Linked DNA regions of Canis lupus familiaris. The protein of the gene in region 1 purifies or fractionates together with the protein of each later gene. This does not show direct contact. Links are inferred from orthologs where the notes say so. Each region holds a gene or a part of one and is shown on either strand. Other genes may lie near its edges.

The links.
Region 2: the proteins of OSBPL11 (region 1) and VAPA purify together in Homo sapiens (co-immunoprecipitation; 4 studies listed by BioGRID and IntAct, counting the BioPlex papers as one, with this or other methods). This does not show direct contact. The link is inferred for Canis lupus familiaris from reciprocal best matches to the Homo sapiens genes OSBPL11 and VAPA.

What each region holds. Positions count from the first base shown.
Region 1 is NC_049254.1:29,232,809-29,249,338, reverse strand, and holds part of OSBPL11 (oxysterol-binding protein-related protein 11), read left to right. Parts: intron 1-3,940; coding exon 3,941-4,116; intron 4,117-4,957; coding exon 4,958-5,037; intron 5,038-6,677; coding exon 6,678-6,854; intron 6,855-9,597; coding exon 9,598-9,799; intron 9,800-13,773; coding exon 13,774-13,919; intron 13,920-16,530. UniProt on the Homo sapiens protein: Plays a role in regulating ADIPOQ and FABP4 levels in differentiating adipocytes and is also involved in regulation of adipocyte triglyceride storage. Weakly binds 25-hydroxycholesterol. Interacts with OSBPL9 to function as lipid transfer proteins.
Region 2 is NC_049228.1:75,928,634-75,945,263, forward strand, and holds the start of VAPA (vesicle-associated membrane protein-associated protein A), read left to right. Parts: upstream 1-5,851; 5' UTR 5,852-5,866; coding exon 5,867-5,943; intron 5,944-7,451; coding exon 7,452-7,483; intron 7,484-14,557; exon of another isoform or gene 14,558-14,695; intron 14,696-16,630. Other genes in the region: homeobox protein engrailed-2-like, read right to left, coding at 1,603-2,196. UniProt on the Homo sapiens protein: Endoplasmic reticulum (ER)-anchored protein that mediates the formation of contact sites between the ER and endosomes via interaction with FFAT motif-containing proteins such as STARD3 or WDR44.

The DNA.
Region 1 (16,530 bases):
TGGAAATTGAATCTAGCCAGTTCTGACTCCAAAGGCTATATTTTTACATTATCATCATACTGCTTCTAATTCACATATCATTTGGACATTTCTACTTTTGGCCACAACAAAATAACAGGAGCTGAATTTGCTTTCCTCCCTTAAACAATTTGAAAATGGGACATAATTTATTAAAAAAAGATTTAAAAGAATAGGTGAAGCATTGATAAAAATGTGATCGTTTAACTGAGAAGGCAGTTTGGTTTGTGTTTAGTTGAAAGTACATCAGGTAATCCAAATAAAAGTGATATACAGGAAGTTGGAGATTGTTTGACAGGTCAAAGCTGGATATGAAAACTTAGAAGGAAATCATCCCTATTGAAGTAAAAAGGGCAGTTCTCCAGGGTTCCCATCTTTTATTTAAAAAAAAAAAAAGAAGTAAAGTCAAGGGAGTCTTTTCATGTTGTTTTTCACTTCAGGTTTTTGAAATTTTTTGAAGGCTTATATATTCAGATGACATACAGAATATCAATTTTTTTTAAAGATTTTATTTATTTATTCATGAGAGACAGAGAGAGAGGCAGAAACATAGGCAGAGAGAGAAGCAGACTCCTCACAGGGAGCCCAATGTGGGACTTGATCCTGGAACCCCAGGGTCACACCATGAGCTGAAGGCAAGTGCTCAACCGCTAAGCCACCCAGGCGTTCCCCAGAATATCAACTTTTAAAAAAGATTTTATATATTTAATTTAGAGAAAGAGAGAGTGAGCAGGAGGAGGGACAAAGGGAGAGAGAATCTCCAGCAAAAAAAAACCCCTGCAGAACCTTTCATGAGGCTTGACCTCACGACCCCGAAATCATGACCCAAGCCAAAATCAAGAGTCCAAGTGCTTAACTGACTGAGCCACTCATCCAGGTGCCCCCAGAATATTAATTTTTAAAATTTTTATGTCACTTTGGGTTTAGCACTATATTTTGTTCTCTTTCTTAAAGGAAGATAGGTTAACTTTCTCCCCCAACACCCAACAACTGTCATTCATCTAATACTGAATAATACCGAGAAACTCTCAGAAGGGGAACAGAGTAAGAGATTTGGTATCTGTATATATTGTGAAGTGGTCACCACAATAAGTTTAGCATCTGTCATCATACATAGTTACAAAAAATTTTTCTTATGAGAACTTTTAAGATTTCTCTTAGGAACTTTCAAATATGTAATACAGTATTTTTAATGATATCAACTTAACACTATGCTGTTCAGTTACTATTTCTGATTTCACCAGTCACTCCTCGCCGTTATTTTCTGTATATCTAGGTGAATGCCTCTCCTATTGTAAATTTATGGTAATGCTTTTGGGATAAGAACGTGTTCACACACACCAAAAAAAAAACCAAAAAAACCCCCCAAAAAAACAAATTAAAAAAAAAGAAGAAATATGTGTTCACAGCAAACTTGAGGTTTCCAAACATATTGTACTCTAAATTTTCTTTGATTACTTTTACAAGAAGAAACCAGTCATTTTCCTTTGCCTTTTTGTAATGTACTTACAATTTAGAACAGTGGAAAGAGATTTCTTTCTTACTTTCCTTCTATTTTTGTTTGTTCTTTTTGTTAACAGTTTTACTGAAATATACTGCACATTTCATACAGTTTGCCCACTTGAAGTGTACAACTCAATGGTTTTCAGTATACTGATGAGATAGCTGTCTTACTAACCCACCCCTTCTGTTTATTTTTCTGTTTATTAGATGAATTTTTTTTATAGTAGATTCATTTCTTAGTCCTTTAGGGCTGCTATAACAAAATACTACAGACTTAAGTGGCTTATAAACCTTTCTCATAGTTCTGGAGCTTGGAAGTTTAAGATCATGGGGCTGGCATTGTTGGGTCAGGGCCCTCTTCCTATCATAGACTTCTTATTGCATTCTCACATGGCAGAACAAGGGTCAAGGAAGAGGTCTTGGGTCTCTCTGAGAAGGGCACTAACATCACTCCTTAGGGTTCTGCCCTCATGACCTGATCACCTCCCAAAGGCTCTGTTCCCTTAGGGGTTAGGATTTCAACATACGAATTTGCAGGGGACACATTTGGACCATAGCAGATTCATATATGTATTTTGTGCTTTATGCTTATGTTTTAGAAATTGACGATGATGTCGGTGACTATCTTGTGTTAATTCAAATAATCTCTTCAAATAATTTGGAAATAAAGATAAGCCTATTAATTAAAAATGTGCCAAATGTGATGAGCTGTTCACTAAATAGAATTATGGATGGTCAATAAACACGTGAAAAAGTGTATGATTCTTCTAGTAATGAATGAAATGGAAGTTTAAAAGCTCTCCAAAATGCTGATTTTTTTTTTAATCTAAATATGGGAACATAATCTTAAAAGTCAGAAGCATACTATAAGATGAACAAGAAAAACTATAGTTCTTTGCTTTCCCATCTGCCTTCTCAGGCAATCACTTTCAACTTTTGCTTGCTTCTTAGCAGTTTTTCTTTCCTTGAAGAGAAGGCTGATTTCATTTTCTCCCAGTTTGATAGGATATGGTTGCCTGTTGCTTAAGACCATATCTTCTAGGACTGTGAACTGGATCAAATGGTCTAGTGTTCTAGAACTCAGTAATATATAGAACGCCAAACTACTCCTAACCCAAACATTAATTTTTTTAACTTAAACGTTTTAGAGTTTTTTAAAAGAACTATTAAACTACTTCACTTGGAATCTTAATAAAATAGTTAATCTGGAACCAAATCATAACATCAAATTCTTTTCCAAAGCGTATCAGTATTTCATCATTTAGTTTCAAGTTCCTTATGTTTCTCCATCTCCAGTTGCAGCTTTTACATTTTTAAACAGGAAAAGTAATCTTTAGTTGTGACCTATTTAATGATACATGCACAAAATCTTTCTACCCTGACATTATTCTCATTGTGTATTTCACTGATTCTTAACCCAGCATCTAGTTCTCCTCAGAGCTCATGTTTTGATTTGTTTCCAGTGAATTTTTTTTTTAAGATTTTATTTATTTATTCATGAGAGTCACGGGGAGAGAGGCAGAGACCCAGGCAGAGGGAGAAGCAGGCTGTGTGCAGGGAGCCTGATGTGGGACTTGATCCTGGACTCCAGGATCATGCCCTGGGCCAAAGGCAGACACTCAACCGCTGAGCCACCCGGGTGTCCCTGTTTCCAATGAATTTTATTTTATTTTATTATTTTATTTTATTTTATTTTATTTTATTTTATTTTATTTTATTTTTATTTTTTTTAATTTTTATTTATTTTATTTATTTATGATAGTCATCAGAGAGAGAGAGAGAGGCAGAGACACAGGCAGAAGGAGAAGCAGGCTCCATGCACCGGGAGCCCGATGTGGGATTCGATCCTGGGTCTCCAGGATTGCGCCCTGGGCCAAAGGCAGGCGCCAAACAGCTGCGCCACCCAGGGATCTCTCCAATGAATTTTAAATAAAAATTCTCACTACAGTTTGTGTTTGAGTAATTTACCTTTCCTGTTAGTGAATTCTGGAGAGAAATCTTCCTCTGAAAGGATACTCTTTGTTTCCTTTTTGCATTATCTGGTATGCCTCTTCTGTATTAAGTGCCTGCCTCATTGAAGGTTTTATGTCATTATTAAATTCGTTCAATTTTTCAATAAGCTTTATTGCAAGGAAATTTGGCCTTCGTGTTTCCAATTCTTGAATGCCTTTTGAATTTTATTTATTTGGTTCTTTTTTTTTAAGGGGAGGGGCAAAGGGAAAGAGAGAGGATCTCACCACTCTGAGATTATGACCTGCGCCAAAATCAAGAGTCATGCACTTAACCAACTGAGCCACCCAGGCACATCTGGAATTCAGTTTTTTAGTAGCAAAAACTCCAAAGTGTGATGATGATTGAAATTTAGTTTGACAAGGGGGAATGTTTAAAAATTATGACTTTCTTTTTTGAATCATTACAGGTTTTTTGTTTTAAACAATGAAGCTGGGTTATTGGAGTACTTTGTGAATGAACAATCTAGAAATCAAAAACCCAGAGGTACTTTGCAGCTTGCAGGAGCTGTAATATCACCTAGTGATGAGGACTCCCACACCTTCACTGTAAATGCTGCCAGTGGGGAACAGTATAAACTTAGAGGTATGATCAAGATATGAGAATTAATAGTGTGATTTTCTTCTTCCCTTGAGTAGTTGATGTACTTTTCTGCTTTCATTTGAGTTTTGGTAACATACTGTCATTGATGATGTAGGTAAGATTCTAAATCGTAGAATTGCTTATGAGTTTATGAAATCTGTTTTAATAAATAAATTTTCTCAAGTGGCACAATAAACAAGTGTATTTACATTTGGCCCCTGCAAAATATTTGTGTAGACAAACCTGATTACTGAAAAATCTAAGAACATAGCTTTAAATTTTATTTTTTGTGTCTGCCACAGATTTGTATTTTACCTCTTTTCTTGATTTGTTTTGCATGCCCTCTTTTGAGGTTTCTAGTGACTAATTCACATCGTTGGGATTTATTAAAATCTGCATATTCATTTTTAAAATATAACTTTTGTTCAGGTAAATTTAACTTGTGTTTTTCATTTAATTAATGCATATAAAGTATAATGATAATCCTAACTGAGCATGTTGTAAGAGATCTGAAAATATTGAGTACACATCAAATGCTTAATAAAGATGATTTAAGTAACAACATATTTTTATGAGAAACTTAGGACATGTTAAGTCTCATATCCCTGTCTAGCTGCATATAATTTATCCTCCTTCTGAAATATCCATCCATATCCAGCTACTGTGTTACCTAACAAAGTTGGTGTTTGGGCCTTTTTCCTCCCTCCCTCCCTCCAGGGGGGACATTTGCTCTAGGGAGAGTAGGAACAATCTCTGGTTTTCAATTATCTGTTCTTCATGCTGTATACAATTGTATTTCAAAAATAAATATAAAAGTGAATAACTTTTAGGTTCTTTTTATCAGCCACAGATGCTAAAGAGCGACAACATTGGGTTAGCAGACTTCAGATATGTACACAACATCACACTGAAGCTATCGGAAAGGTATGTGGATTCCTATATGATATTAATGCATAAAAATGAGGGAAAGACTACTTATTATCTTTTTATATTTTTAAATTGCAAGACTATTCACATACCATAAAATTTACCCTATTAAGGTGTGTGGTTCCATTCGATTTATTTATTTATTTATTTATTTATTTATTTATTTATTTATTTATTTACATTCGTTTTAATATATTTACAAGATTGTGCAACCATTGCAACTGTCTAGTTCCAGAACATTTTCATCACCCTCCAGAAAACCCGTATCTATGTGCAGTCACTTACTATTTCCAAGCCTCTGGCAAACACCAATCCATTTTCTATTTCTATGGGTTGGTCCACTCTCAGCCTTTTATATAAATAGAATCATACAAAATGAGGTTTTACTTCTGGCTTCTTAGACTCCACATGATGTTTTTCAGAGTTAGAAGCAAATTTTATTATATGTCCAATTTTACTTGTTCTTTAGTCTTTTATGTACACATAGTATTTTCAGGGTTCATTCATGTCATTGCATGGATCATTTTATTCTTTCTTATGGCTAAATAATATATTGTATGAATACACCACATGTTTATTCATTTATCAGTCAGACATTTGAGTTGTTTCCATTTTGTGGCTATTATGAATAACATTTATGTCTAGGTTTTTGTGTGAACACATGATTTCACTGAGGTGTGTATTTAGGAGTGGAACTACTGAGCCATATATGGTGGTTCTCTGTTTAACTTTTTGAGGAGCCACCAAACTGTCTTCCAGAGTAGCTGTCCTGTTTCACATTCCTATTTGCAATGTATGAGGGTTCAGTTTTCCCACATCCTCACCAGTACTTGTTACTGCCCCGCCACTTTTTTTTAACTGTAATAGGCATCCTGTGTATGTAAAATGGAATCTCACTGTTGTTTTGATTTCATTTCCCTAATGACTAATAATGTTGGACATCTTTCTCTATGCTTACTGATCACTTGTATATCTTTTTTGGAATGTTTTTTCTTTTTTAAGGTGGAAAGGATGGTCTGAGTACTTGAAATCTGAGTTAGAGATATCTAAAAACCATCCAAGAGGTATAGTTCAAGAGTTCCATACCTCTGTGATAGCTTGACTTTAAAAAATGATGTTTTTTCCTGTTTTTTTTTTCTCCATAAGTAAATTTTAAAAAGTTGTTTGTGATTTAGGCCTACTGCCCAGTCTTCAGGAAATTCATAACAAAAGTTTTACTCCTACTGCAGGATTGTAGTCATTGGCAGTGATCAAAGGGTACTAGTTGTTCCAAAGATACTTGCATGTTACATTAGAAAATGTATTATACTGCATATTTTTGCTTCAATTATGGTGTTTAAAAACCTGAAATTAGAAATGTCTTATTCTAATATTTGTAAAATGTGAGAAAATATTCTCAACAGCACAAACCCATAATCAATTTTCTAAATAAATTTACAACTTTACTGTTGGATGTGTCAAATGTTTAAACTTTGAGTGTTTTAAATTTTAGCATTTTTTTCAGGAATGTTCTTGTAGTCAGTTCTGAGGTGAATTTAATTTTTAAAACTGTTCATGGTGTAGACCTAAAGTATATATGTAATATGTGAGGCTTAGCCTAAATTTTTTGAAAACAAATTATTTTCTTTGTCTAATAGAATAATCCTCCTCTGAAATCACGAAGCTTCTCACTTGCATCTAGTGGTAATTCTCCTATATCCCAGAGGAGACCAAGTCAAAATGCCATTTCTTTTTTTAATGTTGGACATTCCAAACTACAATCAGTGAACAAAAGAGCTCACTTACCTCCAGACCATCTTGTGGAAGTCAGAGAAGTGAGTATGAATTAAAGTCAAATTAAAATGCACAAAATTGTCTAACTTGCTTGGTTCTGTCACAAAAGAATTTGAAATCTTATTTGTGTCTTCTAGGGCCCTCAGAGAACTGCATGAAAACTTAATAGTAGCATTTTCTGAAATTAGAAATTAGATGCAGTGTGGAATCTAATATATAATCCATGAATTTTTTTTTCATGAACTTTTCATATTCTGTTGCATGGAAATCTATTGATTTGTCTTACAATTAGAAAGTATCTTTAATCTATGCATCATTTTATGACTCTACACATTAGTCATTTGGAAAATATCATTTCACAGAGTTATGCAGGTCTTGGAGATATTGATCTGTTTTATCATACTGTATCAAAAGTTCCCATTCATTAACGTCTTCACCAATCTCTTTAGAGAAGGCTTTCAGTATTGGGAAGTTGTCCAGCTATGGGACTCCAGGATCACGCCCTGGGCCAAAGGCAGGCGCTAAACCACTGAGCCACCCGGGGATCCCTTATTTTTTATTTTAAAGCTCAGGTTACCCGGGATCGAATCCCACGTCGGGCTCCCGGTGCATGGAGCCTGCTTCTCCCTCTACCTATGTCTCTGCTTCTCTCTCTCTCTCTCTCTCTCTCTCTGACTATCATAAATAAATAAAAATAAAATAAAAAAAAATAAAGCTCAGATTTTATAATTGGCAATAAATACTGTTGTCTTTTTTTGTTTGTTTTGAAGTGATAGGTTTGTTTTATTTAATTTTTAGGAAATGCCAAGTTTGAATATCTTTAGTTTCTAACAGTCATTCTATAATGCAAAACACTCCTGTGTTTCTCCTCTGCTTTGCTATAACACTGTACGCTTCTGTATTCTTATTCTGGTCATCAAATGTATGGAGTTTTCCCACCGCAAAGCAATTCTCTAATTCTCTGTGGACAACAGCTGTGCATCCTACAATTTAATTCAATTTGGCACTATCTACATAAAATAGTGTTGGATCCCACAAGACTGCCCCCCTTTTAGACACCAGCTGCAAGTTCAGGTTGTCACCTGTGCCTTTGACCAACCTGGTATAAATTAACTCAGGAACAGGCCAATGTAAGAGGAGATGCATAGGGCCAGATAAGGGGGAAAGGCATGGAGCTTCCATGTGCTTTCTAGTCTACTACCCTCCCAGTACCTCCAAATGTTCACCAACCAGAAGCTTCTGAACTTTCTCTTTTTTTTTTTTTTTTTTTTTTTTTAATGGAGGCTTCATGAGGTAGGCACAATTGACTGAATCATCAGCTATTGGTGATTAATTCATCCTCCAGCCCCTTTCTCCTCCCTAGAGGTTGGCAGATGGGGCTAAACACATATATACATATCTGTTGGTTATATACCTAAGAGTATAATTGTTCAATTGTAGATTATAATTATTTAACCCTGTATATTTAACTCTGCTAAATACTGTCTAACTGTTGGCGAGAGTGGTTTTACTATTCGTAAGTTTGGATTACTGAAAGTTAGTCCTAACATTTATATACAAAACATTTTATATACACAAAGCACACATATATATGCATGTATAAATATGTACATATAGTTATCTTCATATCCACACTTTTCATTTAAAAACCTTTTCTCTGGTAAGGGTGAATGTTCGATCCATTGCTATGACCTGTATTCAGGGGCTCTTTAATGTATGACACACTTGATTTGTTGGGTAGGATAATTGCATCTTTCTTTCACTAGCCCTTTGATGAATCGTATTAAAAATTGCCTGGGGATCCCTGGGTGGCGCAGCAGTTTAGCGCCTGCCTTTGGCCCATGGCGCGATCCTGGAGACCCGGGATCAAATCCCACGTCAGGCTCCCAGTGCATGGAGCCTGCTTCTCCCTCTGCCTATGTCTCTGCCTCTCTCTCTCTCTCTCTCTCTCTCTCTCTCTCTCTCTCTCTGTGACTATCATAAATAAATAAAAATTAAAAAAAAATTGGAACAGTGCCTCGGAAAGCTAAAAGTCTCTTCATTATAGTTTCTATGTGAATTAAAATAGTGGCTTAAAAGATAGGCAGTCTGAGACTGTTCTGCTCACAATTGAGTATTTAAGCATAATAAATTCAATAAAGTAATTAAGCACAATAAATTCAGGTTTCATTTTAAAATTTTGGGTTGCTTATCAAGCATTGTTATTCTGTTGGCTCTCTTAGGAAAAGTGAACAGAACTCTTGATCAAAGCAGGATGTATTAAACTCTTTTAACCTGAAAAGCTTATATCCAGTACTTGCTACAAAATCAGACTAATGGGACCAGAAAGTTAGATTAGAGAAAAGGAAGCAGGAGAACCATCATGTTCTCAGTGTAGGTTCAAATTGAGCCTGACCAGAGGTGCTGAGAAGAAAGAGGTTAAGAGCCCATACTGGGGACTAATTTTACTTTGTAATGAAATATTTAATGTTGCTGTTGAAGATGATCTTGGATGTTCTTTAATGACTTGTACAAATGTATACTGTTAAAAGATTTGTCAAGGCTTTTGAGCTTTGTTGCTTCCAAAGAAAAAGTGCAGCTGCCAAAGACACCATCTTTTGCACAATTGATAAGCACTACTAAATAGTGCTCATTAATTGAGAATAGCCAAACATAAAATAGATTTCTAAGCCTAATATATCCTAAAAATGGTTCAGAAGCTAATAGGGTAATGAGAATGAAAACTATGTATGCATGATACACAGAAATCATGAGTGGGATACATGGAACTGTTGTTTTCCTTAGATGATGTCTCATGCTGAAGGACAACAGAGAGACTTAATTAGGCGAATTGAATGCCTTCCTGCTTCTGGCCATCTTAGTTCCTTGGACCAGGATCTCTTAATGCTCAAAGCTACTTCCATGGCAACTATGAACTGCTTAAACGACTGCTTTCATATTCTCCAGTTGCAGCATGCATCACATCAGAAGGGCTCATTGTCTTCCGGTAAGTTGCAGATTAAAAGCAGGACTTAATATTAAGGGCCAAAGCATGGAAAGGTTGTGTCTGTTGTAATTCTAACTCCTAAAAAATCTTAATAATAATAATAATAATAATAATAATAATAATAATAATAATAATATAAAAGAAAACCAGTGAGCTTCTTGATTTTTAATTACATAAATGTTAAACTCTTATTTTGTCCTTTTTTGAATCTAAAATGATTTTAGGCCCAATGTTTAATATAATTGAATATCCCTTTGGGGACCTCAACTTCACATGTTGAAAACTCAGCTTAAAACCTACATCTCCTACATTTCTGCTAAAATTGGTGGCATTGTTATTCATCCAGTCGACCTTAGTAGAAATATTGGAACCAGTTCTTATGGTTTAGTCCACTGTTCACTATATGCACTTTAAGCTAGAGATACTAAAGTCGATCAGTCACTTTTCAGTTTGAAAAATACGGTGTACATACAGTATTTGAGAGCACTGACTTGTTGAAATTAATCCATCAAGGAAAATAGTGCCATTGTATGGGAGGACAAAAAATGAGTTTTTCTATTTAATGAGATAAGTAAACTCATCACATTTTTCATTTTGAGATATAATTGACCTACAACTCTGTAAGTTTAAGATGTATAGCATATTGATTTGATACATACACATGTTGCAATATGATTACCACCAATATGATGATCACATAATTATCACTTTTTTTGTGGTGAGAACATTGAGGATCTAGTCTTTTAGCAGCTTTGAAGTACTTAACACAGTATTGTTGACTGTAATCACTATGATGTGCATTAGATTCCCAGAATTTATTCATCTTCTAGTTGTAACTTTGCACCCTCTAACATCTCGATTCTCCCATTCCCATCGCTTTGTTTTAACAGTAGTAACTTACTAGTTCATACCAATTCATTGTCCTCTTACTCAACTAACCCCGCTTGTGAAGAAAGTTAATTTAGAAAGATACTGAGTGTCTGCCCAGGAAGAAGTTTGCCATAGTCCGATCTATTTTTTTTTTTTTAAGATTTTGTTTATTAGAGAGAGAGAGACAGAGAGAACATGTATATGCAAGCTGGAGGAAAAGCAGAAGGGGAGGGAAAAGGATGAGGAAAAAATCCCAAGCAGAGTGTGTGCTGAGTGGGGAGCGCAGCATAGGGCTTGATCTCATGACCCTGAAATCATGACCTGAGCTGAAACTAAGAGTGTGAGTCACCTACACACCCCCTACCATAGTCCAGTCTTGATGTGGATATAATATGGCTTCTGTCCTCATGTATGCCTACCTAAATCAATATTTCAAGCTAACTATGTTTAATGGCTAGTAAGCCATGCATGTTTCCCGTAAGGAACTCATGGTCCACTTGGGAATGAACATATAAACTTAACTGTAATATGGAAAGTACTGTTTACAATGGGAACAAAATACTTTGGGAGAATATATGAATGGACCAATACTTCTGACAAAAAAAGTCTGGAAAAAGGCCTAGAAAAGCTCCAAAAGCCAGTGGAGAGAGAGGAGAGTGTGCTTGGAAGAGATAGACTGGCATAAGTTGTGAGTTGTGAACGTGGACCAGGGCCTTGGAGGAATTGTAGGTAGTATATAAATTTTCTCCCATTATAAAGCAGCACACACTTGAGATGCCTGGGTGACTCAGTCTGATAAGCATCCAAATCTTGATCTCAGCTCAGGTCTTGATCTCAGGGTTGTGAGTTCAAATCCTGCGTAAAAAAAAAAATAAAGCAACATATGCTATTATAAAAAACTGAGGACCTATTATACAGTTGAACAAAAAAAGAAATCATGCATTATCCTACTAACCAGAAACTGCCACTGTTAATATTAGTACATACCCCACCAGATTTTCTTTCCTTCCTAGTTTTTGTTTTAACCCCATTTATTATTAGAAAATATGTTTTTATCTTATACTTTTCATGTAATATCAAGAATATTTTCCAACTTCTGTTATGCTTTTGGTAAACACAGTTTTTATTGGCTACATTATATTCCGTTGAAGGGATAGGTCTTTGGTTTACTTGACTGTTCTCCTGTTGAACATTGGATGAGTTACCTTGAACTTTGAGATTTGGGTTAATTCTGGTGTTTGTAATAATAATGTTGTCAGGTAAATGAAAGTTTGATTTTAGTTAATGCTACTTAATTTTTACAAAGCACATCAAGTAGCGCAGTGTTAAATACTACATACTTAATACTTGGTTAATTAAATATATATAATTCTTCTAATTCTTAAAATTTCATTTGTGGAGTTAGAATACACAGTTGTATCTTTAAATGATTGTATTTTTAAATGATTGGCTGCATGCTTAGTGAAGCATATACAAGCATGTATAAATTTGTATTTTTTCAAATTAAAAAATGGTACAGACTATAAACTACAGACGTGTTTAAAGTAAAAGCTGTTTTTCCTCATTACTATGTTTTAGGGCATAGATTTATGGGTATTTGGTGGAATTGATTAGCTAGTATTGGTATTTCTTACTATAAATAGTCATTTTCCAAATTAGGTCTGTAGAAATGTATTTTTCAGTCATTTGAGAATAAAAATATAACTAGAAAAGGAAACTGAATTACCTTTCACTCAAATTTTGAAGTGACACAAGAAATGAAATCTAAATTTAAATTAGTTTTTAGTCCTATGAGTTCTCTTAATGTATGTTATCCAAAGGATCATTGATTTAGAGGGATCATGAGACCAGATGATTGGTTTGATAAAGAGTATTTTACTTTTAGAAATAAAGAGATGTGGGGGCACCTGGTTAAGCATCTGTCTTCAGCTCAGGACGTGATCCCATGGTCCCCGGAGCCCCGAGTCCGGCTCCCACTCCACAACTACTCTCTCTGCTCTCTTCCTCTCTCAAGTAAATAAATAAAATCTTTTTAAAAAATAGAAGTAAAGACATCTAGATTTTGATATTAAGAATGAACATTTTAAGGTAGGAACAAAATGTTTTCATTTCTATGGAATTTTGAAACTGGCCTCTTGAACTTACTCAGGGCATTCCCTGAGAAGTTGGCCTGAGTGGCGAGGCAGGATGCTCTGGTAGTCTGGTGGGTACTTAGTAATTTATCACTATACTGAAGTCTGGCATTTCATTATAGATTGAGTGAATGACCTACTCTTTGTAATTTCTGCTGTAGTAGTCTGAGCATCCCTTATTGTAGCACTCTAATAACCAGGCTTCTGTGAAACCTAGATCAGCCTCTGAAATCAAATGGAACATTTTCCATTATTGATTAGGCATAGAATCCACTTTGTTAAACTAGTTGAGGGTAATAAGAGACATTTGAGTCATTAACTGAGAAGATGACAGGTCTCTAAATGTGACCACTGTCTTTCACTAGGTCACCTATAATTTATTCAGTAGAAAAAAGCCTTTCAGTTTAAAAGTATCTGCACCTCTTTACATGATTAAAAAACAAGAATGGACATGTATTCCTAATGTAAAGTACTTATATTAGGCCAAAATGGCTATTTTGAATGGTTAGAAAATTGCTACTGAAAATAAGGTTCAATTCCAAAAATGAAGAAATTTTTACTGTTTCAAAATCCCAGGCTCCTCCTGTAATTGTGTGGCTCCCTAAAGCCTAATTGCATACTTTTTGATCATTAGGAAGAAGGACCGTGTTTTTACAGAAAAGGTAGCAAATCAACTATTAGGGTGGGAATACATTATCATTTACAGATTTCCCAAGAAGAAGGTCATTTCCATTTAGGGTTGATTCTTTTAAAAGGTATCTGATTTCAAGTCGCAATTTGCTCTGTTGTAACATACCCAATCATGATGCTCATGCTAATGAGATACAAGTGGCTGTTTTGCAGAGTCTCTTAACAGGTTGAATTGCTTTTAGTCTTGTGGGCTCAAAACAAAATTGTTTAATAAAATCCACATCTGCTGAACTTTCCAGATTATGAGCAAGTTTCAGCGAAAGTTTTCTCTTACTTCATCAGGAACGACAATCGAGTGGTTAGAACCAAAGATACCTTTATCAAACCACTATAAAAATGGAGCTGATCAGCCTTTTGCAACTGAGCAAAGTAAACCAGTGGCAGTCCCAGAAGAGCAGTGTGTTGAAGAATCTGGACCATTAGCAAGGGTAAGGTAATGTGAAAATACAGTTTTGATGTAAAAATTAGGAATCACTAAGGAGGTTCAGTTCTCTTTTCATTGTCAGGGCATGCAAGTCATTCTAACACCAGAGCAACATTCTTGCAGACTCTAGATATTGTTTTTCTAATTTAAGTAGCAGTGGCTTTAGAAGAGGTCTGTTGTATAATACTTGCATGTTTTGTGTTTTTCAGGTTAAATTATGTGCCTTTTGTAGTTTGGGCTCACTTTTGCTTGATAAAACTGTATTGAAAAGTTGCAATTTGCATATTTTTATTTTTCTAGAGAATAACGTATCTAATAAGATTTGCAATATAAGATTTGTAATTATTTGCAGGATAAGAAATATATTTATCTTAAATCTTAATGTAACATTACTTATTTGATGTTTACTATTAAATTTGCAAGTTTAAAAATTTACTATTAAGTCTTTTTTGTTGTAAGCACTTTACCAAACCAGTTTAAGTTACTCTACTTAAAATAGCATAGTCTCAGGGTTTTATGTTTTTATAAGTATTATTTATTCCACATTTCTCAGATGCTAAAGCATTTTTTATTCTAGTCATAGTTCCACCACTGTAAAAAAATCATATTGGTTTTTTGCCTATTGTGTTATCTTTATGGTTATCATAATTACGTAGTTTTATTTTAAGCTCTTTTTATTTGAAACTTCTCATAAGCATTTTTTCTGGCCTATATAATTAAAATTTTACAGGTTGAAATAAGCTATTAAATATCTAGGCTCTTTGTTATTTTTTGTTATTATAAATAACACTGTATCATCTTGTCTATTTTTTTTTTCCTCTTTATTTGGGTTATATCTTGAGGTTATAGTCCCAAGTAGAATTACTGAGTCAAGAATAACACACAGCTTATGATTATTTATATATTTGCAAATTACTTCTTCAAAGAAGTACATGGGGCCACCTGGGTGGCTTATTCGGTTAAACATCCCAACTCTTGATTTCATCTCAGGTCATGATCTCAGGGTCCTGGGAGCAAGCCTGGATCTGTGCTCTGGCTCTGTGCTCTGCAGGGAGTTGGCTTGAGATTCTCTCTCTTCCTCTGCCCCTCCCCCCCATATAAATAAAGAAATCTTAGAAAGAGAGAGAGAGAGAGAGAGAAAGAAAAGAAAAGAAAGAAAGAAAGAAAAAGAAAGAAAGAAAGAAAAGAAAAGAAAAGAAAGAAAAGAAAAAAATACACGATGCACGATACAGAGACTTCCAAAATTGGCCAAAACCTTGGTTTAATGAGGCAGGCAATGGCAGCAGTGTAGATGGGAGAGAAGAAAAAAACAGTAGGAAATGCTTTTTTTTCCCTCCTGTAACTTTTTGACCAGCTCATTTCTAGTCAAGTAGCTAGTATTTATTAAGCTATTTAGTGTATGACAGACAAGTCCAATGTTAGGTATTAGAGGAGACGTAAAAAATCAAAGACATAGTTCTTTCACTGAAGAGACTTATAATCTGCTTGGAGTCACAATAACATATAGACCAAAACAATGAGAGGATAAACATGAAGCAGCATTTTGCTTTCCATCTTAATTGCTATGGCTTAGGGTGTTAGGATATGGGCATTCTGAGAAAGAAAGAGAGGTGTATTCAGTAGAGTGGATAAGGAATGCTTTGGAGAGGAAATGGAATTGGAATCAGGCTTTGAAAGAAGACAGGATTTAAAGAGAAAAGAGGAGTAGTAGGATACTCTCAGGATGGATGAATACCAGAGCAGGGATACTAAAGCATATATGCTTATTGTGGTGAAAGCTTGCTTGATGGTTTGTTTTTTTTTTAAGATTTTATTTATTTATTCATGAAAGACACACAGAGAGAGGCAGAGACACAGGCAGAAGGAGAAGCAGGCTCCATGCAGGGAGCCCGATGTGGGACTTGATCCCCGCACCCAGGATCACGCCCTAGGCCAAAGACAGGTGCTCAACCACTGAGCCACCCAGGCATCCCATTGCTTGATTATTTAAAAAAAAATTTTTTTTTTAAAAATTTAAAAAATTTTTTTATTCATTTATGATAGTCACACACACACACAGAGAGAGAGAGAGGCAGAGGGAGAAGCTGGCTCCATGCACCGGGAGCCCGACGTGGGATTTGATCCCAGGTCTCCAGGATCGCGCCCTGGGCCAAAGGCAGGCGCCAAACCGCTGCGCCACCCAGGGATCCCCCATTGCTTGATTATTTTAAACCCAGATCCTGTCATTTACTGACATGTGGACCAATAATTAACCACTTAGCTTCAATTTTCTCATTTGTAAAGTGGAGATAGTAATATCTTATAAAGATTGTTATGAACATAAAATGAATTTAGCAGAGCACCTGGTTTATGGAAAGTGATCACAGGATGGTTAGATTTTACAAATCCAGATAACCATTTGTGCTGCATTCTCTGGGGATTGATAATCCCTGGAGCCAGTGCTCCATAAAATATAGTGTAAACTGTGTCTCGAAAGAACATAAAAATCATACAGAAGAATTTAGTATTAATGTAATAGATGATAAAATCATGAGCATGGGATATGTTTAAGATTGATATATATGATACGACCTAGAATTAAAGTGTTGATAGAAGGCTGTGGAGGTAGAAATGAA
Region 2 (16,630 bases), on another chromosome or scaffold:
AGAAGGGTGTGACGATGTCTGTAAAGCTCTTTGAACTGCTAGAAGACGTTAATAAATACCAAAGCAGAAACCTCTTCAATAGTGAACTGTTCAATGAGGGATACGATGATTCGGGAGAACTCTGAATCATTATCAATGCAGTGCTCTAAAACAGGAACAGAGGAATTATTCCAAAGATGTTTCAGGTATTCTCAGATGACCAGATATTTAAATTCTCATAGAGGTTTAAGACTATATGATATCTGAAGTCACCTCGAGGAGACAAAAACAGTCGATTTCAAAGGTCATGGCTTAAAAATAGGCCCGGGCTGCTTCATCAGGCTGGAAAACTGGAGCATATGCACTTCAGCCTTCCCATGGAATTCAGGGCGAACGCGAGCCGCCGGCGCCTGGGGAGTGCGCGGGAACTTCCGCAGCACGCGGGCCCGGGATCCTCAGACGCTCTCCGGTCGGTCGGTCGGGGCGACGACGTCCATCTGGCGGCGGAGCAGCCGGTTCAGCCCAGGCGAATCTGCCCACGGAAACCCGGCGTCTGTGGCCGCCGACGGGCCGTCTCCTCACGCTGATCGCGTGTGAGACCCCGTCCCACGCGGTGGTCGTCAGCCTCTCTTGACAAACGCCCAGTTGTGGTATTGTCCCTGGACGATGACTGAAATCTCAAGATAAATTTCGTGAACGAAAATAAATCCAAGGGGAAAAAAAAAAAAAAAAAAAAGAAAAGAAATCCGAGGAAAGGGGAAATTAGAACGCACTTTCGAACGAGGCTCTCACGGCTTAGGCTGCGTGCCCGTCGGAGGTAGCGTCCGCCGCGGGCGCCGCCTCAGGGCCTGACCCCACACGGGCGCGGCTGCACCGAGCGCGCGGGTCGAGGCGGCCCTCGTGCCCACGCTCATTCCGGACCAACGCGGCTGCCCCGCCGCTCCTCTGCGGCGCCTCCTGGGGGCTCCGGTGGCCGCCGCACCTCAGGCTCAGTCGCGGCACATCCACCGTCACACCTTCGCTCCCGGGGCTTTCCTCCCTCGCTCAGTTTGACCATCCGCCGAACTCGCTTCCAACACGACAACGTGGCTTGGGCCCGTCACTTGACAAAACCGAAGACCAGGCGCCCGCAACCCAACGGGGTGGGTGGGGACCCCCACTTGCAGCTGGGTAAGGGTGCTTCGTCAGGGCTCCCCGACGGCGGCGGCTTCCTGACCCGGGGCAGCTTCCTCCGTCGGCTCCGCATCGCTGGATGCAATTCAGGAAGCGGCAGACGTTCCGCTGGAAAACGACGGAGAATGTAGAGGGATGGGTGGACTTAGAAATTTCAGAAATCTTGGTTTTATATTTCTAGGCGGGGGACCTCAGGTCAGTTTTCAAAAGTTTTTTTTAAATTTTTTTTTTTTAATTTTTTTGTTTTTCAGCGCAGACGAGACGCTGAGAGCCAAAAACGGCTGTCAGCCGGCCCACCCCAAGCGCCTCCAACGGACCTCATCACCCTTCCCGCCCACCCACAGCCAGTACTACAACTCCCGGCAAGCATCACGCAGTGCCGCAAAAAGACCGGGCCCCACGGGCATGCCGGGAGTTGTAGTGAGTGAGCCTGACTACTTTCTCCTTCTCTTAAGCGTTCCCACTTGGAAGACAGTAATGCGCTGCTAACAGCCGGTTCTCCAGCTTCGCCGTCGGAACTAAACGTGAGCGAGGATTGCGCCCTCCCGCCCCGCGGTGCACACCGCGTCGCTGCCACGGGGCTTCGCTCCGCCCTCCATCCACACCCGTTCCCTTGACAGTTCGAGCTCCGAGCGGCCGCGAGGCCCCGAGCGCGCAGGCGCAGTGGCCGGCGCCGCGCAGGGCAGGACTGGAGGGCGGGACGGGCGCTAGGGGCCCCCGGCCGCCGGGGCGCGCACGTAAGCACGCAGAGGCCGTCACGTGGGGTGCCGAGGATCGCAGTGCGCGTGGCCGCGGCGGCTGGTGTGGGGTTGAGTCAGTTGTGAGGCCCGGAGCTGCTGACCCAGCGGGCGGCCCAGGGGTCCGGCCACAGAGCGGCAGGCGTCGGGGGTTCGGGCGCCGTGAGCCGGCCCCATCGTAGAGCTCGGCCGAGCCGCCGCCGCCGCCGCCGCCGCCGCCGCCCCCCGCCCCCAGCCAGCAAACCGCCGCCGCGGGCGCGCCCCCGCTCTGCGCTGTCTCTCCGATGGCGTCCGCCTCCGGGGCCATGGCGAAGCACGAGCAGATCCTGGTCCTCGACCCGCCCACCGACCTCAAATTCAAAGGTAGGCAGGGGGAGGGCAGCTGTCCGGGTGGGGCGGGCGGGCGGGCGGGCGGCCAGACTGGGGGCCGCTGGGGGGTCGAGGGAAGGTCGGCGGCCGGCCGCGAGGGAGCGTCCCCTCCCCCACGCCCCGCACTCTCCATTCTCGGCGGCGCCCGCCCCGGCCCTCGGCCTCCGGCCCCGCGCCCGGCCCGCGCTCGGCCCGCGCCCGCCCGCGCCCGCTCGCGTCTCCCTGCGCGCGCCGGCCGGGGCGAGGCGGAGGGGCCCGGCCCTGCCGCCGCCGCCGCCGCCATCTTGCGGTCCCGCGGGGGCGCCTCCCGGGGGCTGCCCGCGCCGCTGGCCTCGCGGGGCTGCGTCCTTGGCCCCCGCGGCCCGTCGGGCGTCGTCTGGGAGGGGGCGGGTGGGCGGTGGCCCTTGAGCCTGCGCTGGGTCCGCTGCGGGCGCGCGGGGGCCCCGGGGGTGGCGCCGGCTGTCAGCGGCGGTGGGAGGCCCGGGACGCGGGTCCGGGAGCAGCGGCTGGGTGGAGCCGCCCCGCGCCCCGCGCCCCGCACCCCGCGCCCCGCACAGGGGCTGCCGCCCACCGTGTCGCTGGGAGGGGATGGGGCTGTCGGGTTCGAGGCGCTGCGGGGAGGCGGAGAAGCCCGTGAAGTCCTCCAGTTAGGACCGACCCGGCTGTGCTGGCCGAGACCCAGGCGCGTGCGGGCAGGAAAGCTGTGCGTCAGCCCGCGGGCGGAGAGTAGTAGGTGAAGAGTAGACGCCTTCCTGGTTCTCCGGGACGGCATCTGGGCTCTCCTTCCCGCGGGCCCACCTGCCGGGCGCTCTCGCTCTGCTTGTCAGCTTAGCCCTTGTGCTGCGGAAGCTCCAGGGTGCGGGGCTCTGCCTTTAGGTTTCTGGTTTACGGGGAGGCTGCTCAGGTGTCCGTCGGCTCTGGAGCGCCCTGGGTGCACTTCGCAGCGATGCTGTGGTGAACCAGCGGTCCGACTTGGTGATCCCCGAGCAATCCGAGGCGGCTCTTGGCCCCGGTGGTGTTCAGAGTGCAGGGTACGTCAGGGAAGAGAGTTAGGCTGGTTTCTTTTTAGGAATGCCGGAGGCCTGGGCAGTTCCGACAGGGAAAGCGGATTCCTTCCCGTCTTGGTTTAACGCGTAAAGTGAATCGCCTTTTGGAAGATTCACGATCTTGTTTGAGCGGCTCTGAGGGGAGCGGTGTTTGCGAGGCGTGTAGCCATTCCAGTGCTTACAACAAATTAAATCCTTTATTGTTGTACGAGATTGAGTCCAAAGGGAAAACAAAAGCTTTCCATAGACAACGCTTTGAATAGTTTTAGAGATTTTAAAATATTGTTTCCTGGCATTTATGAGAGTAGTAGATAGGTCCTTTATCTTGCAAGCTTTTTAGGACATTTGCAGATTTCTTTGAATTGGGAATGTGAGCTGCTTGTTCAGTAAGGATTTGGTTTTAAGACAACTCCAATAATTTGAGGGGCACTAAGTGTATCTTACCGGAACAAGTTGACGTGTGTGGCGTTTCACATGGCTTTAGCTGAAAGGAAAAAGCACCTTTGGGGAATCATGAAAATTACCTTACTTAGATTATTTTTGACTGGAGGGATTTATTGTAACCTCTGTAATGGTGTGTGTGCTTTTGAGAAGTTAAAAGAATTTTTGCTTTTACTTTTTGACAGGCTGAGTTTACAGAGGAAATTTCCTCTACTGGTGGATGTCCATGCGTGTATTACCTTTAGGGACTTTAGAAGCCTTTGCAACCGGCTTTAGGCCAGAAAATGTGCGCAGAATTTGAAGCTTTCTCCCTAGAGAAGTTGTCATGTTGCCATAGTAAGAGACTAATAATAGTGGAGAAGCAAGCTAAAGAAACAACTCAGAACCCATACAATAACGTTCATATATTACATTATTTTAGTTACTGAAGAGTTATTAGTCATGATTATGGAACAAGTTTTTCTTGTGTTATGAATGAAAATAATTCACAATGACCATTTTTAAAAGTTTGGATATCAGTGACCACTTTTTAAAATTGACTTTTAAAAATGTATTTCACTGAAAAGTTTATGAAGACATATTTGGTTGGGCCACTTAGTGAACACTTACTGAAAGCTTTGTGCCATCCCTATATTTAATTAAGAGTATTCAACTAAGTAATTCAACAGTTATCAGATTATATTTGGGGATTCAGTACTAAACAAGGTGGGAAAAGATGTACAGTTTGTAGTTTAATAGAGAAAGCGTCCAGTAAAACAGTGAAACGTGTTAGGTTTTTTCTTTGTCCTTGAAGAACTCAGACTTGTGAGGGAGACCAAAGGCACATAGGTGCTATTAACAGAGGCAGGACTGGTATGAAGAAACCCCCAGGTTTCTTGGAAGAGGCTTATTTTCATTTGGGGGGTGGGGGGAAAGGGATGGGCAAGGGAGTGGTTGTTTACTCAACTACTGATGTAAGAGAATGTGTGGCTTATTTATTTATTTTCTCTCTTAAAGCAGGCTCCATGCAGGAGCCCGATGTGGGACTCGATCCCGATCCTGGGACTCCAGGATCAGCCCCGGGCCAAAGGCAGGTGCTAAACCACTGAGTCACCCAAGGATCCCCGAGAATGTGTGGCTTATACTTAGTGGTTTGAACTGTGCTTTTCTGTTCCAGGGTGGGATAATGGGGAGGATTGGGGAATAGGAGGGGTAGGGTGAATTAGGAGAGATGACCTTTGATGTCATTTGATTCCCTTCTTCCTAATGTTCTTTTTCTAGTCAAAGGTAAATAATTTGCTTTGATGGAAACCTCTCCATATTCCAAAGCACAGTTCAACACTAAGTGAGGAGACTTATTTAGAATCCACAGTCTCCTTATCCTTAGTTTGATGATGATATATAGTCATTTCATTCTGACTTGCCCTAAATCATCTGTAGTTTTTAGTTAAGTGTGTTAAAGGATAGTTTGCTAAATTCTTTATCTTTTTTGTAGGCTTATTTGAATTCTTTTGAACTCTACACTTGACGGAGATCGTTTCTCCAATAGTGACTCGTTTAATCATTTTGAGAATAGGTGGTGAATTTTTCTGTCATATGCATAGCAATCATCTTGATAGGAATTATCAGCACTTTGCACAATTATGGAGAAACATATACCAGTTTAATACATTTTTCTAATATCTCTATTTTATTAAAAATTTTGTTTTATACAGTTGTTAACCTATGAAGGTGCTTTTATAATGGTGTAATGAATTCTAAGGTAGCTCTTTTGTCGGATTAGTAAAGAAAAAGAGGTAGGTATTACCAAATTTTGTTTAAACACTGTCAGTAATTTGACCTAGAATTCAGATGTGAAATTTGATATTATATCTGAGAGATGGTTTCTTTGTGCTGTTATAGTTTTACTATTACAGCATTTTTTTCCATTGTATTATATTATATTTTTCCTGCCTACTAGTGGTTTTGGAGAAAAGTTGGAAGAAGGAAATTTAGAAAATGCTAAAATAAAATGTGAATGTATTCTTCCTCCTAGTAATCAGAGAAAGGAAAATAGACCAGAACCATTCTGTTAAAGGTGGCCCATAACAAAATCAAGCGAATAAAGAAAATTAAGCTCTCTGAGGAACCAAGAAACCTGTGATGTCAGCCAGAACATCTTTGAATAGCAACATAATACTGAGAAGTACAAGTGAGGATGTAGAGTTCTTCTACTCTTGGTAGATATTTGGCATATTTTTAGGTCTTTCAGATCAGCTCTTATTTCACAGTGGCTTCATCGGATCCCTAGGGTGATTTCCCCCTTCTCTGGGCCACAGATGACATCTTATTACTCCATTCCTTAAAAGCTCTCAAGTAGCTCTTGATTGCCCACTGGATCCAAATCTATTGGATCAAAAATAGATAAATATATATATATATATATATATATTTTTTTTTTAGTGTGGTATTTACGGTCTTCCATGATGTGCTGTCTTCTCTTTTAACACCTGTTGCATCTTTACACATCTATACTCCACTCCCCCCCCCCCCCCGCCCCCAAGAAAGAAAAACCCTTCTCCTATCCAAGCTTGTTTGTTCTGCTGTTTTTGTTGGTTAAGGTAAAATCCCTCATGACTCATACTTAGACCATGTTCCCTCAGATATTTTCCCTCTCATGTTTTCAACCACCGGCTTCTTCCTTTAAACATACAAGTACACATAAGTCTTTCATTGTAAAAGCAAATAAACAAAGTACTTGACTCCCAACTCCTTCTGGTATATGTCCCTCCCTGCCCCTCATTTCTTTTGCAGTCAGACTTATTGGAAAAATTGTCCGTGTGCACTGTTTAGTTTAGTTTCTCACCTCTTGTCCCCTGTAGTATTCTGTCCTCACTGCTTATTGCTTGCTGATCGCATTGATCATTTCCAATTCATATCTCTGTGGCACTTTACATTATTAACAGTTCCTCTTTTTAAAAACAATTCTTTTGACTTCTATGTAATTGTCTTCTAATTTTCTTTTTTGCTCTCTTTATTGTCTCATTTATGGGCTTTTTCTTAATTGCTAATATTTCTGAGATTCTGATTTGGTTTTTTATCTCTGTGAACTTTGCTTCTTCAGTCTCCTGGTTTTTGATGGCTTCACCTTCTCTTGCTCTATCTTTGCACCTGTTGGTTCACACTCAAATTTGTATTTTAATTAAGACTTTACAGAGTCAGTTTTAGAATTGCTTGCTGACTATCTGGATTTGAATTTTGACTCAGTTTTTGGGGGAGTATGGGACAGAAGGGGAGAGAGAGTCTTAAACAGGCTAGAAACCCCACATGAGGTTTGGTCTCACAACCCTGAGATGATGACCTGAGCCAAAATTAAGAGTCAGATACTAAACCGACTGAGCCACCCAAGCACCCCTTGACTCAGACATTTCAAACTTGGTATATCCCAGATGGATTTTTTTTTTTTTTATAACCCAAGCTTACTTGTCTTCCATATTTTTAATTTTTTGGTGGCATCGTGATTATTTATATTAGAAATACTCTGTATATCTGCTAATTAAAATCTGTATTTCTACATCCCAGAGATAATTTTTGAATCTGTCTCCTTTAAAACAACTCTGCTTTTAAATTTATTCATTTTAATTCATTTAATTATACAATAAAGATTTGAATTTCTGCAATGTAGAAGTATTGAGTAAGTGTTAGAAGTACAGTTTTGAATAAAACACTATCTTTGTTTTTCATGCAGCAGTCCCAGTCGGAGAGAGAGACACCAGTCAGGTAATCAGCAAAAGGAACTGTAGCTCTGAAGAGGTGTGTAGGGCTATGAAAACATAAAATTGAGGACTTTGATCTGCTCAGGGAAGACACAATTGGACTAAGATTTTCTAAGAATGAGAAGTTTCCTAGGTGAAAAGGAAAGAAAACTGCAGTAGGCGCTGCATGTATTTACAAAGATCCTGTGGCAGGAGGGAACCTGAAACATTTAATGTTAAAGTAATCTCATGAGTGTGGTGCTGGTTTCTAGGTTGACTAAGGAATTTTGTTTTTATCTCACAGGGATTATAAGTGGGGGGAATGGTAGAGTGGGGGGAATGTAGTGATAACTCAAATTTGTACTAAAACAATTTCCATAATTCTGGTAACAACATGAAGTAATATTAGAAGATAGAGATTAGGCAGTTTTTTTAGTTCAGGCAAGAGGTGACAACTTGGTCTGAGGTATTGGAGATGGTGAAAAGTTAGAGGGTCAAGCCAGTGAGACTTGGTGGTCTATATTGGATAACGCTCCTGCAGAGTAGAGGTGTGTTGGATGTCTTTGAGATTTCTGGCGTATGTAACTGGAGGAATGATGGTGTCCTGGGCTGTGCTAAAAAAAGAAACACTGGTATTTATTTGAATGAGGACCACGTGTGTTTTACTTGGGGGCGTGTGGGAGAGCGATAGGAGGAGGGTCCTGGTCTCATCTGGTGTGTTAAATGTGTTTAGGTCCTTTAAAGAGATTAATGCAAAGTAACTAGTAGATTTTGGTTATATGGATGTATTACTTAGGGAGGGATCTGGGTGGGCTTTGGGTAATTATTTTAGGTCATTATCGCTTGCCTTTTTTCTACTACAAGTCTGTAGACAGGCCTGCTTTTCACTAGTGTCCCTCTCTCTTCAGCCTCTCTTCCACACTGCTGCTAAGAACTATCCTTTGTAAATGCAAACTTCAATGCTATTGCTCCCTTGGGTTATCGAACCTGCTGGCACATTTCCCCAGTATGTAGATGAAAAAGTCCAAAACCCAATGCCTGCCTCTCCATTCCCTTCTACACATAGCTTTGGTTACATGAAACCATTTTCCCCAACACTTCAAGCTGTTGCAAGGCTTTGCACATGCTCTGTCCCGAATATTGTTCTCCCTCATATCTGTCAAGCAGTCTCCAGTTCAAGAATCCTTTCCTTTTGTGAAGTCCTTGATTCTTGCCGTCCAAGTTGGTCACCGCCTTCCTTTTTCAGGCCAGTGTTGAAGCTTGTGCTTATCTGTAATATCTGCATTTAACCACATTACAGAGTTTTATGTTAATATATTTTTTCTCTCCCAAACTGTAGCGTTAACTACTTGAGGATATACTTGTTTATTTTATTTTTATGTCCATGGTAACAAGATCTGGCATGGATGATTGTCCAATAAACATTGATTGCGTTAATAGGACTCTGATGATTACTCCTGTAATTTCATGTTTTTCATCTTGGATCTCTTTTCGGTAGGCTTTTTCATCTGCCTTTGCAGGTAGTTGTGTTTTCAAAATTTTATAGTTTCAGAAAAGAGGACATTTTGTTAAAAGGGATAGGACTAACCCATAGATAATTTTTTTTTAAATTTTTTATTTATGATAGTCACAGAGAGAGAGAGAAAGGCAGAGACATAGGCAGAGGGAGAAGCAGGCTCCATGCACTGGGAGCCCGATGTGGGATTCGATCCCGGGTTTCCAGGATCGCGCTCTGGGCCAAAGGCAGGCGCCAAACCGCTGCGCCACCCAGGGATCCCAATTTTTTTTTTTTTTTTTTTTTTCAATCTTTGTGCTTCATCCTTTTCATTTGTGAACTATGAGGCAGGACTAGGTGATTTCCTGGATGTTGTTCTGGCCCAGAGGTTTTGAGTATGTTTGTCAGCTGAGAAAAAGAAGAAAACACGATATTTCTATGAAGTGGACAAATACGTGTAAAGGAATTGGGAAAACTTGATTGGTTTTTGAAGTTTGGTATTTTGTGATTGTTAAGTTTTGGTAATTTTGTTGTTGGTCTACCATATTAGTTATCCTTTAATTTCCTTTAAATAAGACATTCTTTCACCATGCAGAGATGTTCTGTGAAGAGAGTCATTAGCAAACACCTTTTTATTTTCTAAGAGGCACTTCTTGACCTTCCTTTCTTGGGCTTTTGGATCTTAACCTAGAGGGATTATACAGTGAAGTCTCAGCTGCCTTCCAGGGGTGGAGGTGATAAATTTTAATATAGGATGGATCTTATTTCAGCCTTGAAAAGTTTTAAAAGAAGTTTAGGGACACCTGGGTGGCTCAGTGGTTGAGTGTCTGTTCAGCTCAGAGTGTGATCCCAGGGTTCCAGGATGAGTCCCGCACATCAGGTTCCCCACAGGGAGCCTGCTTCTCCCTCTGCCTATATCTCTACCTGTCTCTGTCTCTCATGAATAAATAAATAAAATCTTAAAAAAGAAAGTTTGAAAGTAAGAGGGGAGCTATTATTTGCAAAAACTTGTTTATTATAATTGAAATGTGACTCAAATTACTAGATAAAAAGCTTAAAACTTTTTTTAAGATTTAATTTATCATGAGAGACATACAGAGAGAGAGAGAGGCAGAGACACAGGCAGAGGGAAAAGCAGGCTCCATGCAGAGAGCCTGATGTGGGACTCGATTCCGGGTCTCCAGGATCAGGCCCTGGGCTGAAGGCGGCGCTAACCCGGTGAGCCACCCGGGCTGCCCAAAAGATTAAAACTTTTAATGAAAGCTTTCAAACATCCATAAAAACATTGTAATGAAACTTTATACTTTAATAATTTCATATCCTTTAATGATTATTAGCATTTTATCATGTTTATTTTTTGTATGTTTGCTGTGGTGTTTTAAAATAGATTCTGGATATCAAACATTTGAACCTAAAACTTGAGTTTTCTTTTCTAATAAAAGGACATTTTCTTTACATAATTGTGATGTCATCTTAAACCAAAAATAACCATTCAATATCATCAAATATCTAATCTATTAAAATTTCCCTAAAAAATAAATAAAATAAAATTTCCCTAATTCTGTTTTTGCTGTTCAGTCTTCTGTGCATGCCATTTGGTTGTCATGTATCCAAGTCTTAATTTTAAACACTGCCTCCCCCCCCCCCCCTTTTTTTTTTGGTCATACTATTGTTGAGAAGATCAGGTCATTCAGTAGAATGTCTCATATTCTAGATGTGTCTGAAATGTGTTTCCTATAAATTTGAATTTAGATTTGAAGGCTTGATTAGGCTTAGGTTTCAATATTTATATTGGTAAAAATACCTTCAGGGGGTAGAATTCTGTTGCACCAGGTATAGGTAGTGTCTGGTAGTCCCAGTTTTAGTGATGCTGATGGATGGGAACAGCCTTATTTCTCCATTGAAAAATTACATAAATATGAGCCTATTTCTGGTAATATGTGCAAGAAAAAAATTGGAAAGAAGATGTTAATGATTAGCTCTACTTTAGGATTCAACTCTCTTTGTTTTTATATTTTTACTTTTCTGTGTTTTCCTGGACTTCACGGTGAACATGCATTGCTTTTTATGAGAGAGGAAAACTTAAAATTACTTTATTAGTCTTGATACCTTTGGAAGATTAGATCAAAGTTTTCATTTGTTCTTCCTGTGTTACCTCTTTTTATTTTTAGCTAATTAAGTCTTTTACAGTTTGAGGTCTTTTTTTTTTTTTTTAATAATGCGTATTACAGGAAGGTAAATAGAAAACAAGTCTAATGTTTGCAACCTTCTGGTAACAGTTCACAAATCAAGTTATATAAAGACAAATAGAAAACCATGTAATTTATAGCTGTCCTGTAATTACAAATTGTAACTATATTAAATATGTCGTTTCTTTGAACTCTTATTATTGACATCAGTTGATGGTCTCTTGTGAGAAGTGGGGTAGATTTGTTTGGGGGTATTTATTTCTCTGAGAATGGCTCCTGCAGATACATTTTTAGGGTCCCTCTTCTCCCAGTGTCAGTTAGTTCAGTGTAACCCAAGGCTAGCCAATATATAAACTGATGGCTGACCAGCCAGAATTTTGATGCCAGCCCTTTAAACGTATTGTTAGATAGACGATTGGCTTTAGATCTTTAAAGGATTGGCTTTAGATCTTTAAAGTCGGCTGATTTGTGCCATGTGTAAGCAGAAGCAATGAGGTGAGAGAGAAGAGGGGGAGAAAGCTGACCAGAGATCTTGTGGTCCCAGGAATCAGTTTCTCTTGAATGCAGTCTCTTATCTTTTTTGTTGTTGATGTTGTTGTTGTTAAGATGTATTTATAAGAGAGCATGTGTGTGAGTGGATGGAGGGGCAGAGTGAGAGAATCTCAAGCAGACTTGAGCGACCCATGGGATCATGACCTGAGCTGGAACCAAGAGTTGGATGCTCAGCTGAGCCACCCAGGCACGCTGCAGCCTCGTTTTAAGGCCAGCTATATACTTCATTTCCTGTCGTTGAGACTCCTTGTATTCTTTATAATAAACTCTTGAGTATGATTTTGTTCTTCATAATAAATTTGTTGCTTAAACAAGATTGAACTTCATAATTTGTGAAAATATGTTCAACTTTATGATTTCACTTTTATGAGAGTAATGTAGATCAGTGTCTTAAATTTTTATGGAAAAAACATCCACTTAGATATTTTTGATGACTAATTAATATCCCCATAGTTTGCTTGGCTGCTTTTCACTGGCATTTAGAATGTTCTCTATAACTAGAGTAATGATGAACATTTTGTACTATTTTCAAAATTCAGGTTTAAATGAATGAGTTTGAGTATATTAGCTTTTTTTTTTTTTGAGTATATTAGCTTTTAAGAATTCAGTTCCCATTTTTAAAAATAGAGATGTTAATTAAAAAATTGTTAACATGAGAGGACTTTAATATACTTAGCTTGTAATTTGATATGTTTCTTAGGGCCTACATTTTGACAACTTTTCTTTTGTAACTGTACTTCCATATATATCCATCCACACATATATATCCATTTATATGTATTTGCTTTAGTACTTAATCTGATGTGACTTGGAATGACTGCCATACCTTTAAAGGTATAGAGTATCTTTGTTTCCTGTTTAGTTGTTTTCTCTATAAAACCAAATTTACTCTTACAACATTGGGAGAGATGAATCACTTAGTCTTGTTTTCTGAGTTCTGTTTCCACTGCCAAAAACTTCAATAATAAAGTCCTCAGAAGATGTGTGTGTGTGTGTGTGTGTTTAATATTTTCAGTTTTTCCCTCAGCACTTTCCAAATAAAAAGCTTTATGAACAAATTAAGCTAATATGCATACATGTTTGAAAGTCCTTTTTGATTATAAAATTTTCAATAGAGAATTGAAAAAAGGATGGAGAGGTGTAAAGCAAAAATTACTCAAGGTTACCATCTAGAAATAATAAAGCTTGACGTATTTCTTTTTATGTTTTGTGTGTATAATTTTACACACTTATATCCTGTATTTCTGTTAATATTATTGTGATCATTTCCTCATGTTATGACATAGTGACACAAAATGAATATTCAAAATGAATATTTTGATTCTAAGCTAATGAGTTTTAGATATTTAAGTGGTGCTGAAAACATTTATTTCTGTTTTTCCCCAACTATCAATTTTCCTTTTATTTCCTTCCATCCTACTTATCTAGATTTTAAAAAGTTATCTAAACTCTTAAAATATGGATCCACTTCTATTATACTTTTTAAAATTTTTAAATATTTTATTTATTCATGAGAGACACACACAGAGAGAGAGAGAGGCAGAGACATAGGCAGAAGGAGAAGCAGGCTCCTTGCAGGGGAATCTGATGTGCGTGGGACTCGATCCCGGAACTCCAGGATCACACACTGGGCGGAAGGCAGGCACTAAACCGCTGGGATATCCCGATCCACTTCTGTGTTAATAAAGATGTTAAGTAGCAGGCATCCTTCATGTTTAGCCTCGAGTGGAAATGTTCTCTTTAATGTAGTGTTTTAGGTGTGTGTACATCTTTTTTTTTTTTTTTTTTTAGAAGGTTACACAGTGGAAGATAGTCACAAAATGTTCTGTTTCTGTGAAAAGACAATTTATTTGTTCTCTCCCTCATGTTTTCAAGACTGTTACTGGGATTGGTTAGGTCAGAGTGAGTAGTCTGTGCATCAAAAGGTCTGAAAAATCACTTCTAAAATGTTTACAATAACTTTATGCAGAATGTTAATAAAGCTGTGAAAATTTAGGATTGAATTGTCTGCCATCTTACCATAGAGTAGAAGAAGTGAAATTGATCATAATGTCACATAGTTTTAGAGCCCAGAGGAGCTTTGGAGGTCATTCTGTCTGTTGATGCTAAAATGCAGGCGATTAGACTGTCTTGGAGAAGTCAAGTGATTTGCTCAAGGTCACTCACTTAGCTGGTTTTAGTTCAGCGTACTATCTTCTAGCTTTTACAAAAGTCAAAGTACACCATCAATAACAAAAACTAGACCCTCTGTCTCCAAAAGGCTTCCAAAGGAATGAAGAGAATAGAAGTTTTGACTTGACTTGGTGCTTTTCCATGTGAAAGTAATGGATGAGTATTTAACTGTCTGATCAGAATACAACTACGTTATTTGAAAGTGGTACAGAAGAAATAAGATATGGTTCCTGCCTATTGGTAGCTTCTTTTATCTATGACTTAAAGCCCCTAGAATGGGAAAATTTTTTGTGTGTGTATTTTTTTTTTTGAATGGACTACACACTACTATATCTAAATTTTGGTGATTTTTCGTCTAGAGTCTGATCATGTATTCATGATACATTATTAATCTCAGAATCCATATTTCATAATTAATGTTAGTGAAACATTGTAACAAGATAGGTTTAGTGTTTTTATTTATTTGTTTTTTCAAAATTTTATTTATTTATGAGAGAGACAGAGGCAGAGAGACATAGGCAGAGGGAGAAACAGGCTCCTTGCAGGGAACCCGATGCGGAACTTGATCCCTGGACAGGGATCACGCCCTGAGCTGAAGGCAGACGCTCAACCGCTGAGCCACCCAGGCGTCTCTGTCTAGTATTTTTAAAACCTTGAATAGAATTGACTCATTTTATTTTCCAGAAAGTAGTACTCTGTTTATTTGTACAGTATAATATTTATTCACTACTTGTTTTGCCAGGGGATTTTTATAGTTGCTGGGGATACAGTACAGAACAGAGACCCAGTCTTCATGGACCTTACGTTCAAGTCTGAGATTTCAGTGTATCTGGGGGAAAAAAAAAAATAGAGAACACAAATTAAGGTGACTTCATTTAAAAAAATTCTAATGAAAATGTTTTAGGGTTTTCTTGGATGTAAGACATAAGATATTTTCTTACTGTTTATGATACTTATTTTAGGAAATACCCAGTTGATGACCTGTGTATGGGACCAAGGGAAATACAATATTCATTTAAAAATCGTTTTTGTCTATTACAGATTTGACTGCAGCTTCATGGTTTATTGCTGCAGATAACTATGTGGAATGCTTTTGAATTAGGAAAAAACTGTGGCTAGGTAGTTTGCATAAAATACATATAGAATTAATGAAAGTTCAGGCTCTGGAGTTACACCTGGTTTGACTTCCACCTTCCACTGCTTTGTAGTTTATGGCATTGGACAAGTGTTTTAACTTCTCTGAGTCCGAGTTGACTTACCATCTGTAAAATGAGGTTAATAAAGTGTCTACAAAGGCTTGTTATGAGGTGCATAATTCATGCACAGTTCTTGATGAATGATGAGTGCCCAATAAAGGCTAGCTGTTAGGAAAACTTTTCTTGTTAGCAGTATTTGTACTGTTACTACTACTGCCATGTTACTATTAACTGTGTAGATTCTTAGTAATGTTCTGTATATACTATACAGTATGTACTTCACATGCATGATTATTTTAACATGGCATGTATTCAGCAGTGTAATCTTTATGCAACTGGAAAACTTAATCAGCTAAAACCTGTGGAAACACTGAAGTGTAGTCATCACCTCCTTTGCCACAGCTGCATTGTTTATATATTTGAGCTGAGCATCCAACTTTCCTCTTTAGGATTTTTACCTGTTGTGTTTCAATAAAGTAGGATGAAGGGGTAAAAATGTAATGGTTGACATAAATGACTTATGAAGACCGAGAGTTATAGCATTTGAAACAAAACGTGCATATTTCTGATTTTTATTTTGTTGCATGTTGATTAAAAAAAAAATCGAAGTGGACTCTTCAACCATATTTACAGTGCATAGGAGCCAACAAATTAAGCAGCTCCTATGACTTATGGTCTGTTTTAATTACTCCAGTTCATTAAAAAATAAATTGTTGCTTCTTAGGGAGCTTATAGTTTAGTTGGATGAGGTAAGGGTTATACATAAATAATAAAGTGAGAAGTGCCATGAGGTGTAGATTATGTGCTCTGTGAATTGTGTGGTCAGCCATGTTTCTCCAGGATTCATGCTTTGGTTCATTGCACTGACTGGTATTAATTATTCAGAGGTCTCTGAGTCTGTTCCCCATAGCCAAGAACTCAGAAAGATCTTGTCAAGAAATGAAGGGTAAAAACAAAACAAAACAAAACAAAAAAAACCTGAAGGGTCTGAAAATTGAATGTACTACAATTTTATGAATATTGGTAGATGATATGAGATTCCTGGATTTAGAGAGAAGGGACTTTATAATTATTCATGACATGCATGTAATATGAGCTTCATATTTGTGGTTTCCTTTGCTTCCTCAAGGGGCAACACACAGGGGTTCAGTTCTGGCAGATGCTACTCACATAGTGTGTTTGCATCATGGCTGAGAAGCCTTTGAGTGTAGAGAATCAGAGTCTTCGCTAATGGGCTGCATGGAAACTTACCTGACCTTTTTCCGTGGAGGAAGACCTTATCTTTATTATACAGGACAATGAAAAGTTGGCTCTCTCCTCAGGAGGGAGGCATTGGTTTCCAGGACTGTTCACTCTTTAAATAAATCCTTGACAAAATAATCTGGATGAAAACTTTGAAAACATGCACAAATGCTAGAGACCTGTAGAGAATTCTCTCTCAACAGGCTTTGGAGTAGGTAGCCTAGATAGATGTCACAGAGTTCATGATGGATGTTCATGTACATTGCCTGTTCATTTTTAAGCTGCATCTCAGAGGCTTGTCTATTTCTGAAATGCTCTGTGCTTAG